Linked DNA regions of Oryzias latipes. The protein of the gene in region 1 interacts with the protein of each later gene in a pairwise test. Links are inferred from orthologs where the notes say so. Each region holds a gene or a part of one and is shown on either strand. Other genes may lie near its edges. The genes, in order: ankrd13a and qdpr.

Evidence for each region.
Region 2: the proteins of ankrd13a (region 1) and qdpr interact in a two-hybrid assay, tested with the Homo sapiens proteins (2 studies listed by BioGRID). The two-hybrid records come from large-scale screens. The link is inferred for Oryzias latipes from reciprocal best matches to the Homo sapiens genes ANKRD13A and QDPR.

The regions. Positions count from the first base shown.
Region 1 is NC_019867.2:13,052,091-13,056,580, reverse strand, and holds the start of ankrd13a (ankyrin repeat domain-containing protein 13A), read left to right. Parts: upstream 1-1,538; 5' UTR 1,539-2,150; coding exon 2,151-2,258; intron 2,259-2,718; coding exon 2,719-2,854; intron 2,855-3,637; coding exon 3,638-3,762; intron 3,763-3,852; coding exon 3,853-3,898; intron 3,899-4,130; coding exon 4,131-4,274; intron 4,275-4,371; coding exon 4,372-4,490. UniProt on the Homo sapiens protein: Ubiquitin-binding protein that specifically recognizes and binds 'Lys-63'-linked ubiquitin. Does not bind 'Lys-48'-linked ubiquitin.
Region 2 is NC_019868.2:550,703-554,518, reverse strand, and holds the end of qdpr (dihydropteridine reductase), read left to right. Parts: intron 1-2,446; coding exon 2,447-2,549; 3' UTR 2,550-3,280; downstream 3,281-3,816. UniProt on the Homo sapiens protein: Catalyzes the conversion of quinonoid dihydrobiopterin into tetrahydrobiopterin.

The DNA.
Region 1 (4,490 bases):
GTTAGCTAAATCTAGCTAATTAAACATAAGTCTGCCACTTACTGCGTTAATTCTTACAGCTCTTTGCTAGCTGTTGGGGTTTGGCTAGCGCTTGTGTGACGACCATGACAACTTAACCACTCAACCCTTACAGTATGAGCTGCTTTGGCTGACACATTGCTGACTAGAAGCCACCTGCCTGGCTAAGTACTCTATTCCTATTTGGTAGTTTACTTCTCAGCCTCCTGTAGGCAGAGCAGCGGCGACAGCAATCATAACCGGGTTTGTTTTGCCCATAATCTTGACTGTCAGGTACAAAAAAAAAACTTTCACAGATCTGGGTAATAAAGCCTAATGGCAAGGCATTGTGCTAAATCATGCAATTACCCATAGTACTCACCATTGCAATATTTTATATTAGCATAAAAATAACACGTAGTTGCAGTGTAGCGGGTTTTAAAGAACTGTACACCAGCGCATGTAAATATTGACCTGGAAGGGAAAATTGCGGGCAAAAATTAAACATAGGTTTGGTGGTAAGTTCAATGACTTGTGGAAGTCGTAAATAGATTAACGCCTATATGTCTATAGTCGGGCTCAAAACTTACATTTTTGCATTAAAATAATAGTTACATAATGGATTGGACCAGTGTGCAGTTACCAAGAATTTGTAGCGGCCTGAGTGGTGGACCCAAAGAGCCTAAAGCATTTTAGAACTAATTTTATTTCTTGATAGCCCGTCAATCAGACAGGAGAGAGACATAGGCAAAGAAGCTAGGGGCGTGTATTGGTAAGAGTCTGGCGATACGATATGTATTGTGATAAATGTCTCACTATACGATATGTGTAACAAATCTCATCTGGAGCCCACTACAAATCACCACAATCTGCGTTTTTATATGGTACTGGCAGCAACGTGGCACAGAGTTTGGGTTCTTTACCCAACCCAAGCAAAAACTAAATAGTAAATGTCTCATAACTACAAAAACTGCGAAGCTGACTGAACATTTAGCATTTAACACAAGCTGATTCTCACAAGATGTTGTTGTTTTGGTGCGGTGTAGAGCTGCTCAAAGATGCTCTGTGTGCTGTGCTACCAACTAGCGGTTGAGGGTTTATGTGGTAAACACGAATCCCACACTGAAGGATGCTCATAAACTAATTAGATAAATATCATACTGACAGCATTTTAAATTGATACAAGTATAGTGATATGTTGCAGAATCAATTTTGCCCTACACCCCTAATAGAAACCAACACTATAGTCACTTAACAAAAATGTAAAGCTAAGAAAGTCAAATATTACGCTAAAGAAACAATCAGAACAAATAATAAAGATGTCTGCTTATAAAAGTAGACACAAAACAGATGAGAATTAAAGTCAAGACAAATTAAACAAATGGGGGTATTGAAAAAATTACTTATAGTTGTTACTCGTTTATAAGTAAACGCTTTCAAATAATTCAAACTTGTTGGTTTATGTAGTTGCTGTAACCACATCACACTGATAGTACGATTAAAGGTTTCTTACTTTCTTAGCAAACACTTGAAAGCACCAGCGTAATGTTGATGTCAGAAACGGAACATTTCTTTTTAAATATCTGCAGGTTTTTACATTGAATTTTAAAAATTATTTCTCATAATAATTACATGCGTTTTTAAAATATTACGGACAATAGTTTTTGTTCGGATACAAATGTTTACCTGGTTAGTACTTTGATGGGTTTTAGAAAACTCCCCCAAGCTTTTTATTAGTAATGGTAGAGTCCAAACTGGAACTGCCATTTATTTCTTTCGTTTTTCCTTAAAAGAAAAACAACAACATTCATTGTAACGGCCTCTGTACTGGATCAACTAATTGGGTGTCAAGTGTAAGTTGGTTTAGATTTCAAAAAGGGTTTTAAATTATTTAAAATTTATTAATAAGGCTTGCCATACTGGCTTTCTGTCCGACACCCCTGTCGTTGCTGAGTCCTTCTTCTGGTACTTCCTTATTCGAAAGTTTTATTTAGGGGAAGGCTCGAGAGGGAAAAGTTAGACTCTTGTTTGGGTATTATTTCAATGTAAAAGCATGTACCGTATGCTTGATACATTTCTAGCGTGACTATAGTGTTGTTTCATGGCTTAAATTATTGGAAGCTACCATCCGTGAAAGGCTCGCCAAGAGGAAGATGTCCACGGCTAACGACGTTAGCGAAGACTTCAGAGTGAAGTTTCCCCTGCATGTCGCAGTGTGGGACAATGATTACAGAAGACTGGAGGAACAAATAAGGCTACAGGTTGGTAAAAACCTACAAACTCACATTCGTTCTTTGATTGTTAGCTGAAGCCGGGAGTTAGCTGTTGAGTGCCTGGAGCAGAAAGTAGGCCAGTGATGTTGACAGATGCTAAACACCAACAATGTTCTATTATCGGTTTTAAGCTAAAGTTAGTCGCTGACGAATCAACAAATGCTTGTTTTTTATTAGTTTCTTTTCTTTTCTTTTTTTTTAATGGTTTACAACGGAAACTCTGTTAACACAACACAGTCGAACCGAATGGTGGTAGCAGTCAATATAATATGGTGCGTTTGAGGACCTGTTATTTGCTAATTTTTGTAAATATTTGTCTAATTAACATTTATTGACAGCTGTAATGATAACGACTGTTCATTTCTGCTCTATAACCATTGCTATAACCGAAACCAGAAGTGCGACTTAGGCATCTGAATTAGACTTCTTGTATTTGTTTTGTTTTTAGAACGACATTGACAACGTTGACCCCAGAGGTCGAACAGCATTACACCTGGCCGTGTCACTGGGACACCTGGAATCAGTGAGAGTCCTCCTGAGACATGGTGCTGCAGTAACTAAAGAAAATGCCAACAACTGGACAGGTTTGCTTTAAAGACCTACTACTCCAATGGAAATTGTGTTTTTGCGTTATTAACATGTTCTTGTAGCATTTCTCACACAATGGAGGACATATATTTAGAAAATTCAGCTTAAAACTGCTTTGCTGAGAATTTTTTTATTCAAATACTTGTGAATCAGAAGCAGATGAAAAAATGACAAATTATCATCTGCAGACCATAAGATCCCTGTTCTGCTCCGTTGTGTTCGATCCACCTGCAGGCAAATAGATTCGTGTACGTCTTCCTTTTCCTCATGCAAGCTCGCATCTGGTTTAAAGCTGTATGGCTGGATAGCTCCAATATTGCTCGCCACTGTAATTGCTCCGCTAATTTTAGGTTGGGGCTGTTGGGTAGCTGGGAAGAGTGTAAACAAAGGTGTGGTGGGAAATCATGCTAACAGTCCCAGCCACAACTCAGAGGCAAATTTCTAATGAACTTCTGCTGCTCTGCAGAACCTGTCTCAGAAAATGACACAGGTTTGTTTTTTGTTCTTTGCTTTGGCTGAAAATGACTAAATCATAATTTAAAAAAAAACACTGGAAACGTTTTAACAATAGTTCAAAAGATGATAGGAGTGGAACTTTAAATCACACATCATCGAAGAAGATGCCTTTCCCACTTGATCATTGGTGTATTTATAGCATTTCACTCCTGATATTTCAGTTCATTATTACTAAAGTTGATTATCTTTTGAATGTGCATGAATAAATCATTATTTCTTTGAAAGGCCTGTTAGTCTGTGCATATATATTTGCTTCTGTATAGTGTTGCAGGAAGCAGTGAGCACTGGAGATCCAGAGATGGTCCAGTTGGTCCTTCAGCGCAGAGACTACCTCAAAGCCTCCACTGCTTTGGGAGGAGTTCCAGAGCTCCTGTCAAAGATTCGAAAGGTTTTCCTCAAAACTTTCTTTGCCTTCATTCTTTCTAACGACACCGTTTGTGTTTTGGTTAATATGAAATTGTTCCATTTTCACCCACAGTCTCCAGACTTCTATATGGAAATGAAGTGGGAATTCACCAGCTGGAGTAAGATGTGTCTTGTTTTGTGATTTTGGAAAATGTGTTTTATAAAGTAAATTCTTTTCCAAAGGGTTTTGTTCAACAATTGTGCATATGGACAGAAAAAAAGTATCTCTAACTAACAGATTATAAAGCAAATTGGCGCAACTGTTTATCTGTTTTTTTTTTTTTGTTGTTTTTCATTTCTGAGTGAAATAGTCTTTTTGTAAGACATTTGTGTCCTGCTGCTGCTTCCCAGTTCCTCTTCTATCACGGGTTTGTCCAAGCGATGTCTGCCGCATATGGAAAAGTGGTGCCTGCCTGCGAGTGGATGCCACTCTTCTTGGCTTTGAAAACATGACATGGATCAGAGGTCGTAGGAGCTACATATTCAGAGGAGATGGTTTGTGTGTTTCTAAATGATGCTCAAAGAGGCCTCTCTTCTTGAGTTCAGCTGTTTTCCAATGGGATCGCGAGTGCATCGCTCTGTCTCCCGGCAGATTCGTGTGCAGAGCTGATGGAGATAAACCACGACGATCAAGTGGTTGATGTTGAACGCTTCAACATATCTCAAGAAATGGAAGACGTGACATTGGAATCGATGCAGCCTCCAGAGCAG
Region 2 (3,816 bases), on another chromosome or scaffold:
TGTGCATTTGGGATGAAATGAATAACTGATGCTACCACAGTTTATAGTGGCTAGTGAGGTGGCCACTGGGGGGGGCAGGTGTCAGCACTGCCTGTGAGTGGTTCAGAATAAAGTATCTCTTGCACTGCCCCTCACAATAAGCTTCCTCTCTTAGACACAGTAGTTTAGTGACAGTTTCTCCCACCACCTTTCATTCTTGGACTCCAACATTCTGCTATACGTCTATGAAGTGTCTCAGCTGCAAAGGCCTGAAAGACGTTTCTGAAAACAAATTTCTGTTGGAGGGAGCTTCAGCAGAGTTCAACAGGGAGTCCTCAGAATAGTTATGGGCAACAGTTCAAAAAAAAACTTTAAAGACATTTGTTGCTTATTTTCTGTCACTCCTGATGTAAAACAGAAAAGGCAGAAAGTGGAATAAAGTTGTCTGAAGCAGAGAGGCAGCTGCTGTCTTCTGCTCAGTCCTGCAAAGGGCTGACAGAAGTCTTTCATGGGGGTGAGCAGGTGATTGATGGGCTGCATGTGAGGTCATGATGGGGCGTCGTTTGTCCTCAGCCGTTGGAGCCGTGTTGCTCTGCGGATGTTTTCAGTCGCTCCGGCGTGTCTTTCACGTCTTCAGGGCAAAGAGGCATCACTTCAGCTCACAGAAACATGGCTCTGTTCATTCGCTGACAAGAAGATTATTTTCTATTATGTCTACAAAGAAAAATAGTAAGCAGGTAAAAAACAATAAAAAAAAAACTCCTGGCTGTTTAGGCAGAACAAAATTTTGTTCTCTGGAGGAATGACTGTTGATGGATGAGTAATTATAAAACTATTTAAATGTGAATTTAGTGGCGACACTGATCTGAGGTCTCCATCAAACTTCTTGATTTTGTGTTTTCATTATTGGCTCCCTCATTACAACAAACGCTGCAGTGTCACTGCGATGTGATGAATCTAAATACATGTATCATTTTACAACAAAAGAATCACCATTTGATTCTGTAATTCTCTGGTTTCATTTGAAGCTTTTCTCATCAGACAGAAGGATGTAAATAAATCCAATGATGTGATTCTCATCTCAGCTTCTGATTTGAGCACAGGAGATGCAGCTGTGGGTCACAGCTCTAACAACTGCTTTCTTCAGTGTACGGTTTATGTCGCTGGGCAGAAAGGAAGCACTTCATAGTCTAGCTGGGCTAATGTAATTAAGGCAAAGGACATTCACAGGTTTTTACGTGCAAGCAGCACAAAATCTGACGGAAATTCACAGAGATCAGGCATCATACGGGCAGAGATGCACATGCTGCAGATAAAGCCTCTCTTTCTTTAAAAAAAAAGTGTGACCAACAACATTTAGCCTCAGATGCGTGTAAAACACGTGCGAGCGATTCACCAATGTGGATTTTGGCTGCACGTATCACGTATGACCAACATCAATTTCCATTAGTTTTAGTGCTGGTTCCTCTAGAAAATGTATGAATAAAATCATCCATGTTTGAAAACTTTAGAAAAACATTAAAACATATACACATCGATGAACCAAACTAGCATGCTACTTGCTAGCGCTCACTTTAGCACACATTTCACAGCCTGATTTCTCTCTATTTAATCATGATTACTCTCTTGTCACGGTTCCTGTTGATCGGAATATTTTCTTGTCATGATGGTTTTTGTAGTTGATTGCAAAACCATTGCGTCCCCTTTTGTGATTCTTTGCGTGTTTGTCCGGACCTCCTTCGTTCTTCACTTGAGAAGACTGGATGCATCGTACTGGCACATGTATGTCACGTGACGGCCAGTCCAGTAATATGTATCAATGCGCTCATGTCAGCGCGGCTCAGAAGACATGATCTGCTGAGATCATCACTGACCAACGGTTGTTGTTCACAAATGAAGGGAAAAATCTGATTTTCAATCTACCTCACTTTCATTCCTCTGCTTCTTTTCTGGTTTGTTTTTAATAAAACCTCGACTCTGTGAATTTTAATGATGCAAAATCAATTTTTGAGCTTTTGACTGTATTAAAATGTTCAATCCTCACATAAAAACATGTATGTCAAGAAAGTTTGTTTAGTTAACAAGTTTATCACAGATCTGACCCCAAGTCTGTACACAATAATTACAGGTACAGGAAACACGTCCCAACCAACCAAGTTGCAGGAACCGTCAGCTGTAGGAGCAGTGTTCAGAACCAAGCCTTCCACGTTGATTCAGAACCGAGCCACTTTGTTTGATTGACAAAAATAATGACGCCCATAAAAATGGAGCCTCTGAGGAAACCGTTCAAAACTGGTTTTGCATCTCAAACCTCCTTTTAGTTTAGTGAATGGAGGGCATCCATAGAGCCCAGCTCCTGTCATGTGACCATGTGTGAGATTGCTTATCATATGTGGACCTGCCTGCCTGCCTGTGTGTGATGATGTCTGTAGAGCTGCCGTTCTGACAGAATCCTTTGTTTTTGCAGGACGTTCTTCAAGTGGGCTGCAGGTGAGAACAGACCTGCCTCAGGAAGCCTCATGCAGCTTCTGACCTCTGACGGCCAAACCCAGGCCGTGGCTGCTCAGTAGAGAACAGCCGGGGGGGTCTGATAGGCAGGGGATAGATGGAACCAAAGAGGATGGGGTGGAGCAGAGCAGAGCTGGTGAAGAGTGGGAGAGAAGATTGATAAGGATGGGAAGAAGAGGAGAGAGCAGGATGGAGGAAGAGCAGACTCACAGTGCCATCTAGTGACAAATCACTACATCTGTCCAGGTTTAACACAGCCGTCAAACCTCCCAACTGTTCTTCCTGAAGGACCATCAGGAGGTAATGGTCCTGCAGAGCCGCAGACATCTGTGTGCTAAATGAGATGTTTCAGTGTATGTTTGAGGCTGCTGTAGAGCCACAGCAGCTAATAAAGTCGTACTTGTGATGCTTTACCGTGTGTGACGTCATATCAGAGTAATTCTGTCGTGGCAGTGTTATTACAGCAGATTCATGTACTAGAATCAGCAGAGCTTTGCCAGTTCTCCATCCTCTGAAGGGCCTTTCCTACCGGCTTACACAGCTCCAGCATCAGGTGTTGGTTCACTGTCTACACTCTGGAGTTCCTCTGCTCCTGTGGAAACTCCACAGATGAATCCCACCGTCTTCTCTAACACACCAAGTGTTTACAAATGGAGTGGCCTTATTTTCCTTTGCAGCTCTGAAGTGTCCTTCATGCTGTTGGCATGTCTGAAGTGTCCCGGTGATGTTGATTTGTCCTGTAGCGGTCCAACATGTGATGCCTCCAAAATAAAACTACTATTTTAAAAATTCACCTGCTAAATGAAGGAAACGTCTTTATGAGTGTTCATGGATGATAACCTTCCTCTGGTTCTGTGTGCAGAACAGTTACTCATTTCATTTAAATTGGAGGGGAAAGCTAATGTTTCTGATTTTCAAAGATCCACAACAGATTTTTTTATTTAGAAACATTCTTTTCGAAGCTGGAAGTTAAAACCATTTCAATTCAATGGGTAATGTTCAAACAAAACAAAAAAAAAAATCCTTTTTAAATGTCTTCAGTCTGTCTGTTGGCCCATCTTCTAGCCTCCTCATTAGATTCATGTTCCACCCCCGTTCTGCTGGCTTTGAGCAGCAGGGATCAGTCGTTCCCCATCGAAAATGTTAAAAAGCAAAACAAACCTACACCATTGGCCTGTAGGAACAAAAATGTTACAAGCTCTCCAGGAGCAAGTTATGAAGTGTTATTGTGGATCTGCTCGTCCTGGCCACATCTTCAGTGACTGGCAGGCTTCAGTGTATCAGAGGTTACAGTCACACATGAAATGATACAAGTTTGTGGTGATTACC